2 linked regions of the Caenorhabditis elegans genome follow. The protein of the gene in region 2 interacts with the protein of the main gene of each other region in a biochemical or structural test. Each region holds a gene or a part of one and is shown on either strand. Other genes may lie near its edges. The genes, in order: unc-78 and cap-1.

Region 1 (5,273 bases), on a different chromosome or scaffold from region 2:
GAAGAGAAGAAGTCCGACTACGAGAGCAGCTCCGACTACGAGAGCAACTACGATGAGAAGGAAACTGAGAAGGGTTAGTCTAAGGCTGAATGATGTGTAGTTTTAACAAAATACATATTTTTCAGAACTCGTCAAGAAGACCCTCATCAAGGAGTTCTCCAACCGCGTCTGCTTCTCCATCGAGCCAGTCTCTGAGTGCCGCCGTGGACTCGAATCCGAGAAGACTTCCAACAAGAAGATCCGTTTCACTTGCATGCCACGCCACAGCAAGAACGCTCGTCGTTTCTTGAAGGAAGCTCGTGAGCAAACTGTTGCCGAGTTGGTCGATTTCCCAGTCTCCTTCGTTGAGTCTGTCAAGATCCCAACCGCCTGCGTTGCCTATTAGATTTCATATGTTTTATTAATTTTCTATTAAATAAAGCATTTTCACTAGAATGATTTTTTTTCTCATCACTTCTAGAAAACAAATACACATGTTGTAAGGATGTCAATCGAAACACAGCTTTGCACCAATAGTTTTTATTTACGCGTGTATTTAAGGCTTCGAAGGAGATGATAGTGCTTGCAGTAAACACGAAAATTAGTGATAATTATGAAAATCAATATAATTTTAAGGATACTTAGAGGGCAATCAAAAAGCTTCTCGACTTAAAAAGGTACATTCCAGAACTTGATATTCGAATCTTGTCCGGCCGACACAATTGTAGTTTCGTTGAGCCAAATTACCGAATTGACAGACGACATAGCATGAGCACCTATAAAAATGTTGTTAAATGTGTTAAATTAATAGAGAAATATTTACCTTTAATGATGATCGGATGATCAGATGGTTTGTTCATGTTCCATACAATAACGCTGTTATCCAAGGAACCGGTCGCCAAACGGACATTGTCCGGTGACCAGGAAACACATGCAACCTTGGCGGTATGGAAAGTCCAGGAGTTTGTGTGAGCTAGCTCGAAGTTGTTCGCAACAGAGTACGGGATAACCTGAATTTTGAAATCTATAATAGAAATGATTTTTTTTCAAAAACTAACCTTTCGTGATTGATCGGTTGCCACGAGGAAAGCTCCATTATTCGAAAATGCGACAGATGTGATTTCAGCAGGATGGACAATTGTTTTAACTTCAGAGACACTTGCTCCAGAGAGTTTGTACACATGGACCTTCGAGTCTTGTCCACCAACAGCAACAAATTGCTTATCGTTCGATAATGCCACACAGGAAGAATTGTAGCTAATTGGTACTTCCGTGAGCTTTCCATGAGAGTAAATTGCAATATGCTTATAGCAAGCAGCAACTGCAATATCTCCATCTGCGGAAACGGCGAGACCGAGAGGTTGCGAAGATAATTTGTTGGCAACAGCTTTGGAAGAATCGACTCCAGAACCTCCGGCAGGAACAACCTTCAGATGATCATCCCAACTGACGGTGAACAAATCACCCTTGCTGGTTGTCTTGATTCCGGTGATCATTGTGGCGTGAACATCCGGAAACACGCGGTTTGATATTCCTGTGGAAATATCCCAGGAGTCTGAAAACAAGTTTTAAATTTCGAAGCACTGAAACTACTCACTAATATGTCCTTCAGCATCAGCACTGAAAAGAGTTTTTCCATCAGCGCTGCTGCTAAGTGCAGTAATCGCCTTGTTGTGTCCGTATCTAACCTGATCGATACTTCCCAATTCTGGATTGACAAAATTGATAAATCCATTAGCAGAGATAGACACAAGAGCCTGCTTGGTCCAAATGATTCCAAGTTGTTGATCTTCAATTCTAGTTCCAACGGGAATAGTCTTTTCAACCTTTAATGTAGCCACATTCCAAATTTTAATGGTCTTATCAGCAGAAGCCGATGCGATTTTTGTACCATCCGGGCTCCAGGTAAGGCCAAACACAGATCCAGAATGAGCGACATTTTTCAAAGAGTCATCTTCAAAGACTCCGGTTTTTGTTCCATCAACTCCGTTGTATAACACAATGGTTCCATCTCCTCCAGTCGAGGCGAACAGAGAGCCATCAGGGTTGTAGCGCACAGAGTGGACGAATTTCGTATGTTCTCCGAAAGTCTGGAAAAATTGGAAAATAAATTTGAAACTGGTTTTTTGTCTGAAAACGTATTTGGAACACTCGAGTCATTTAAAACAAGTTTCCTTCTATCAAAATTAAATCTCTGTTAGAGTTGCACTGACAATAAGCTACTGAAAAGATGTTTGCATTCCGGTAGTATTAAAAATTCACGCATACGTTCAGGTTTTTTTCTACATTATTTGTTGATAGTTTCTGAAAAAAAAGTTCGCTCAGTGTTTTTTTTAATGTTTTATCAAATAAAAAGCATGAAACTTCAGCGAAAAGCTCACGCGAAATTATCTTTTTTGGAATTAAAAAATACAACTTAACACAAACCTAATAGAATAACATGTAGTATTTCGAAATACTTTAAGCGGAACCTTTGTGGAGAATTTTCAAAAACTAATCCAATATTACAATCACTTACACTTTTAAATTTGAATGGTGGTCCTTCAAAAATCGCCACTGTATTATCATCAGATCCAGAGATAATGCGGAATGGGCGTGATGGCTTGAAGTCGACGCTGTTCATAGCGCGAGCTTGTCCGGTAAGATTTCCATTAGACGTTCCAGTGTCAAACAAGAAAACATGACCGAAACGTTCTCTGCCTTCTCCAACGGCGGCAATTCTCTTACTTTCGCTATCCCACGAAATATCCTTCACTGGTCCAGAGAACACCGGAATAGTAGTTTTCAGAATGTGGGTGGTTTGAGTTGTGTCCCAGATACGAACATTTCCATGAACATCACCAGAAGCACAATAATAACCACTTGGGCTTGTCTTGGCGACAGTCGTTTGGTGAGAATGCTCAGTGTAGATTTCGGTGTCGGTTAGGCTTCCAACTGGTACAGTATAAACCGATGTTCCGTTACAATATTGAATCTTGTCTCCAGCGGGGGTGTTGCCTGGAAGTATTTTTGTAAAACGTGATTTAGCTTTCCTATTAACCGTTTCACTTTGCACTTTTTCTGTTGCCAAAGCGTCTCACTAATACTTAAATATTTCATCAATGATTTTTACTATTTTTCGCACAATTGACAAAAAAACTACAGTAACAACAAGCGCTACAGTAGTTTTTTAAAGGATCAATGTGGTTTTCGCTACGAAATACTTTAAATATGTTGCGCAATATGAATTTTCAGAATTTTCTACTTTTGCAAGTGAAGACTAATTATTTTAAAGAAACAATTTATCTGAAAATTAGTATTGCAGCCATATTAAAATATAATGCAGCCATACGGCTTCAATTTCTAGTATTAAATAGTAAAATCACCGTGCAATTAAAAATATAAAAACTCACCGAGAACTACGGCAGTTCCTCTAGCAGTGCGAGGCAAAGACGGGAACAATGCGGTTTGAGAGAATTCCGACATTCTGCAAAAATTGTAAAAATTGAGCAGGAATCCAAAAGATCGAAGGAAGAAAATCAATAAAATCAAACGAGAGCATTGAGAAGAAATAGTGACGACAGCGGGTGAGGAACTAATGAGGGTGCGGAAGGACAGCGGTCACTGGTCACTAACAAACAGTGCGCGCGGCCGAGATGGGGTTTCCTAGGCCGCAAAGATTGAACAACTGTTTTCTTTGCTTGAAATATATAAGTTTTTCGACGGAATTTTATAATTGAAATTTTCTTTTTTTTTTCTAAGAAAAAATTATTAATTTGGTCGATCTATTTTTGTTGATAACGAAGAACAATGCGATAGTTATTTGTGACGTGAAAAAAGTGAATAAGTGTTATTGTTGTGAGAAAGAGGAGGTCAATAGAAAACGGGGCCCGCCGGCTCGCCGGGTGGAAAGCATTCGACAGCAAGACGTGTTTTTCAATCTGCGACTCGGCGATTCCCATCATCACTCGACAATCGAGAAACGGAGGTTCACGCAAACAGAGGATCGGCTGTAAACTCCTCGTTGCTCATCGACCGCTTTTTTTATTATTAGCCGTCACTGGAAAAATCGATAAACCTGCGGGGGAAGCTTTGGGTGAAAAACACGTTTTTTTTTCTCGAACAACATGTCGAAACAAAACAAAATAAGAAGAAAATTGGTCGGGTTTTGCAATAACTTTTCGAATGAGAAATGAAACATTTTCTCGATGAGACAACTCACCAAGCACATGTGATTCATGTTGCATACACGTTAAGGAGGGGCTGACTAAGCGAACTATAGCCTTATCGCAACAAAAAACGATTTTTTTCCTCCCTTTTCTACTTTTCTCGTATGAATTTGTGCAAACTAGAATATGATTCCCCGTGAGTCACCGGAAGAGCTAAATTTTCAATATCAATATATTCATTAATATAAAAAAGACATGTTATTATTTAAGTCCAAAAGTATTTTTGAATAAAGAGTACTACAATCCAAACTACATACTAAAAGCTTATAAAAAATTGCTGACAACTTGGCTTCTCGAGATGTTTCAATAGGAATATTCGAAAAACAAGTAGATCATAAAAATTTGTATATTTAATTTTTTAAAACTGTTTTTCTTTCTCTAGAGCCAACATATTTGCAGGATTCAAGTGTGTGCAGCAATTCTGTGGAGTATGGCCAGTGGGAAAAATTTGAAATGTTTTTTCTGGCAAAAAAAGCTTCAATCGGTGATCAACTTTAAAAAAAAGATTCTAAAAAATTAAGTTCACACGAAAACTTTTTTATCTGAAAAATAGCATTCAATAAAAAAAAATCATGATAAAAATGAACGAAAATGGATAAACGTGAAATGATAAAAACTCTAATTATTCTTTCTCGAGTTCTTCGCTTGATAAGAGGCAACACGATGCTTATGAACTCCGAGCATAACAACAGGGACGAAAAGTACTTTGAAAAACCAAAAGGAGAACAATGTTCCAAGGGCAACCTGAAATTTTGCAATATTCAGACCACTAAGACACCATTGATTTTACCTGAACATCATGTTGCACACAGCCCGTTGTGATTTCCCAATTAGTCCCGATAATTCTGACAGCTTGTTTGGCAAAGTTTTCAGGGGTGACAACGAAGATATTGTTCGCTTCTTCAGCTTCATACGAGGCGACCTTGGTAGCAACGAGCATTGGAATGAGACACTGGAAAAATGAATAAACTTACACTTGAGTTTTTTTTTAAAGTTTGTGAAGAAAGATTTTGAGTTAAAATACAATACGTTTAACAATAAATTGAATCAGTTCTGGCAAAATCATTACATGTAACTGGTTACGTT
Region 2 (4,359 bases):
GACTATAAATCTAAAAGAACGTACTGTAGCTTCGGAATCATCGAAGAACTGTCGTTCCCAATCGAGACGATCGGCTGTCGGGTGATCCAGTGAGTTCAGCGGTTGTCTTTGATTGTTCAGTGAGCGATTGTTTCTTAAAGTTTCAAAATGTGAAATAATTAAAATAATAATTGCTTATATACCCTCCACGGCCCATGGGAAGATAAGTGGCTGAAGAATTTTGGCCCATTCCGCCACTAGAAGCCGAAGATGCGCTTTGTCTTGAAGCAGAAATTCTCCATCGTGCTGATCCGATTAATTCAGCTCTCCTAAAATTGAGAATAAATGTTTTATAAATCGAAAGGATACTCACTTTTTCTTATGGCTTATCACAATTTTCGCAATGAGAGCACATGCTACTCCAAAAACTACCAAGGAAATGAAGGCGATCGACGTTGCAGTTGTATGATCACTTGGAGGAAAAGATGCTGAAAAAATGTGTAATCTTAGAAATATGTTTCTGAAAGCTTACTAGTCAATGGAATTTCCGTCGTGGTAGTTGTAGTCGTGCTGGTTGATACCGTACTTGTCGATGATACCAAATCTGACAAGTTGCTCAATAAAGTCGCATTGAGAACCTCAGTGAGGTTTTGCATCTGAATTTTCTTCAATTAAACGAACACATATTAACTATTTAGCTAATTCGTTTAAATATATATCAAAAGGTGCGCGACCTTTCTAAAATCAGAAAATATCTCGAAAATTCTTAATCACACACACACAAATAATATATAATTGAAAAATGAATCATACCATACAATAAAATTAGATACATAGATGATACAAATTATCAAATCATGAAAAAAGAAGCAGCGGAGCAAACGAAGGGTATTATGTTGTAAAGCACGTCTAGTGTCCGGCCAAAGGATAAAGGAAAGTGGGAGAAATAAAGGTCGAAATTGGAGGATTTTTTGGTTTTTGGAGAGGATTAGGAAGATGATGAAGACCAGCAGACGAACTTGAAGCAAAGCGATGTGATAACGATTTTGTGATTACTTCATTTCCTGACCAATTCGGTAGGTTTGAGCCTGAATTAAAATTAATTTATTCTTTTTATTTTATCAATTCTGAAAATTTTGACATGCCTTTGTAGAGGCGCACAGATTTATTATGGTAGCCCTTGCTTAATCTTTTTCAAAGAAATTACTTCGCATTTAGAGAATTTTGTCGGCTTCATCTCTTGTTTCTGTTAAAATTCTTTTTAAATTAGTTTTCAAATCACAATTATTTTTTATTGTGTCTGCATGACAAGGGATATAAAACTGATTCGAAGCATTTGTTAACAGAAAAATAAGAAACACCGAGACCCATCTGAATAAATCTGTGCACTTTTCCGAAGGCATTCCGAAATATTGTGAAATTACGATACCTTATTCCAGTCCATCTTAGCGCGAGTAACTGGCAATTGGCGACGAAGTGCTTTGAATGTGGTATCAGACATATTAGCGTAATTCTCTTGTACAGCATTCTGATATATAGTCTCTTCCTCGGAAATGGCATGAATTATTTCTTTGGCGGTTTTGTCGAAGTCAGCCTGAAAATAGGGCTTTATATGCCAATTTTTAATTCGATTAAATAGCTCTATGAAAAATATAATTTAAATGATTCCTGTGATTTTATTTTGTTCTTCACAATTTTATGAAAAACTTTTTTTTCTATCCTTCTAAATTGGATCAATTTATGGAAAAAAAAATTTACCGAAACATTGACTTTAAGAACCGGCTCTTTCTCAGAGAACAACTGCACGTTTCCGTCTTCGTAATAATGAACTTGCGACAAAATTTTTCCTTTCATCTCCTGAGATCCTGATTTACCATCGCCAACCGGCACATTCCACTCCGAACGCCATCTTCCGTTACAGAAATTTTTTGGCTGGAATTGATGAGATTCGATGCAAATCGTGAAAACTCCGTTTCGAGCAAAAACCACTCCCGTTCCACTTTTCGCGTAATGATCATCAATATATATATCGAGTTGAGTTTGAAGAGCTTGACGCCATTGTTCGGTTATTCCAGACTCGGCTGGATGTGGTTGAAGATCTGCGGCCTCTTTACGGACGTGATCGTATTTGAAACTTTTCTTTGAAACTTCATCGTAGAAACGTCCATTACCCAAATCATTGTATGGAGTGATCAGAGTCTGAAGAAAATAATTAAATATTTGAAGAAAGTTTAAAAAATGAAAATAGTATACCTGCTTGGCAACACCATCCAACTTTACTGGCACAAATTGTCCAACGTTATATTGAGCGATAGCATTAACACATTTGTTCTTCAGAAGATCATCATTTTCCAAAAGCATCCGAACCGAATTGAATACCTGAATGGAAAGGTAAATTGACAATTGAAGTGAATTGCGAAATATAAATTTTTTGATGACTATAATATCAAGCTTGAACGAGCAATTCTCCTAAAAATCGACAAAAAATTACCTCGTTGAACTCGCCGGGTGGCGCGTGTTTAATGAAATCCGAAGCAATGCGGACCTTTTCGGCGTCACTGATCTCCGACATTCTGAACGAGAAAGAGTTATGCTTATAAACATTTTAAAAATATATTTCTATCAAATAACTAAAAAGAAATAAAGATTGACAAAATAAAAGTGGTGATTCATTGAATAAAAGAGTGAACAAAAATGAATCACAAACAGAGAAATGAGCGCATCGATTTTAGCCGTAGAGCGCGCTTGCGTTTTCGAGAGACACCACACGGAAAGTGGATAGAGATTACTTGAGATATTTAGTTTGAAATGTTTTTTATTCTTCAGCGAAAAAGAAAGCACACTAAAGCAGTTATAAAAAATGAGTAATAAATAGTCTATAAAATAAAAAGCATTTGAACCATGTTCAGAATTCAATTACATTATTTACACTTAAAATTTGTGAAAAATTCGCTGGAAGAGAGAATATGTACTAGATGTGAGAGCATTTCTAGAGAAGAAAATCTTTGAAATTTGAGAGCATGTCAATGAAAATTTGAAAGAAAATTATGTCGAAAAGCCAAGAATAACCTGTGCTACGAGAAATATTAATTATTTGCGTCTGAAATATAATTCGAGAAACACGAAATTTTGGAAGTGGTACGGTAGATTTCAGTCCAAGAAAAAAAACCGAAATTTGAACATTGCAATCTTTCAATCAATGCGACTTATATAGAAACGTTGTTCATAAAACAAACAATGCATTTTTTTCGGGAATTCCCTTCCTCTGCTTCTTAAACTGCAAAATCAAATTGATGAACCAGAAAACGCTAAGCTTCAAACTTGAAATAATAGTTCAGAATTGATCAATTAAATTGTTTAATCTGAATAAAAAACTTTGGATCTAAAAAATTCCGGTTAAATGTTTTAAAAACGTTGTTCATAATGCAAACAATTCCACTCTTTTTTCGGAAAGTGTTCGCTTCCTCTTCTTCTAATAATAGTCCGGCAACAACGGATTTGCTATATTCTAGTTGTTCGAATAACTAGGTCAAGATGATCACGATCAACTGAAAATGCTATAAAAGAAAATTGTTAGACAATTCAGAATATTCAAAGATGTTATTCAGATTCCTCATACTACTCCTAACTGTTTTAGCACTGGCAACATGCCGAAAAGTTCACATTCAAGTTAGAGAAAATGTCACACAAAGTTGTCCGAATGGTTTGTTCTTTTAAATAAAAATTAAATGGTTTTACAATTAATTTACAACCAAGTTTAGTGGATTCCGATGTTATTGACGAGAGCTCGTTGAAGATCACAATGAAAATGTTGAAGAATGATAATCCAGAGGAAGAAGATGAAGAAAAAGATGAAGTAACAATTACTGATATTAATGGAGAAACTCGCCAAATTGATTTCCCTGGATGCTATAGAGTTAAAGTCAGCTTTAAGATGCTGAGACCTATCGAGAATCCGTAAGTTAGAGCTGAAACTTAAGACTGGAGTTCATTCGTAAAATTGAATCCTGCAAATCTCTTAAAATCGTAATAGATTCCGTATTTTTCCCTATTAAACTTGCACCTCTTTACACCTCTTCGACGGGGGTTTCCCGGGTTTTTTGGTTTCATGAAAAGTGCGAACTGAACACACTTATAACATAGTTTTCTTTACTTTATTAGTGAAAACATTTTTTTTCGATAAACTAAACCGTCAAAGTAAAGCAATGCCGATAACAGTCTAATAGAAAAAAAAAATGGTACATTCTTTCTTCTAGATACATTGAAGCATTTATGCAACTTGGCCAAAACGTTCCCTGCAAATCAGAAGACGCGATTCAAAATCTTCGTGGAGTTGAGAGCATTTGTGCAAACGTAACTAGTCCATCTCAATGGTGTCCA

What was found.
Region 1: the proteins of cap-1 (region 2) and unc-78 form a complex in vitro, tested with the Caenorhabditis elegans proteins (one study listed by BioGRID).

What each region holds. Positions count from the first base shown.
Region 1 is NC_003284.9:3,408,171-3,413,443, forward strand, and holds unc-78 (Actin-interacting protein 1), read right to left. Parts: upstream 3,446-5,273; 5' UTR 3,445-3,445; coding exon 3,372-3,444; intron 2,977-3,371; coding exon 2,498-2,976; intron 2,070-2,497; coding exon 1,577-2,069; intron 1,535-1,576; coding exon 1,038-1,534; exon of another isoform or gene 990-1,037; coding exon 803-989; intron 756-802; coding exon 649-755; 3' UTR 504-648; downstream 1-503. Other genes in the region: vit-5 (Vitellogenin-5), read left to right, coding at 1-73, 126-385; putative oxidoreductase dhs-27, read right to left, coding at 4,806-4,931, 4,978-5,139. UniProt on the Caenorhabditis elegans protein: Induces disassembly of actin filaments in conjunction with ADF/cofilin family proteins. Regulator of actin organization in myofibrils.
Region 2 is NC_003282.8:7,227,672-7,232,030, forward strand, and holds cap-1 (F-actin-capping protein subunit alpha), read right to left. Parts: upstream 2,553-4,359; 5' UTR 2,552-2,552; coding exon 2,471-2,551; intron 2,359-2,470; coding exon 2,233-2,358; intron 2,179-2,232; coding exon 1,738-2,178; intron 1,574-1,737; coding exon 1,409-1,573; intron 1,068-1,408; coding exon 1,032-1,067; 3' UTR 751-1,031; downstream 1-750. Other genes in the region: D2024.5 (Mid2 domain-containing protein), read right to left, coding at 25-133, 183-308, 353-467, 512-635; D2024.4 (DUF19 domain-containing protein), read left to right, coding at 3,577-3,682, 3,741-3,936, 4,236-4,359. UniProt on the Caenorhabditis elegans protein: F-actin-capping proteins bind in a Ca(2+)-independent manner to the fast growing ends of actin filaments (barbed end) thereby blocking the exchange of subunits at these ends.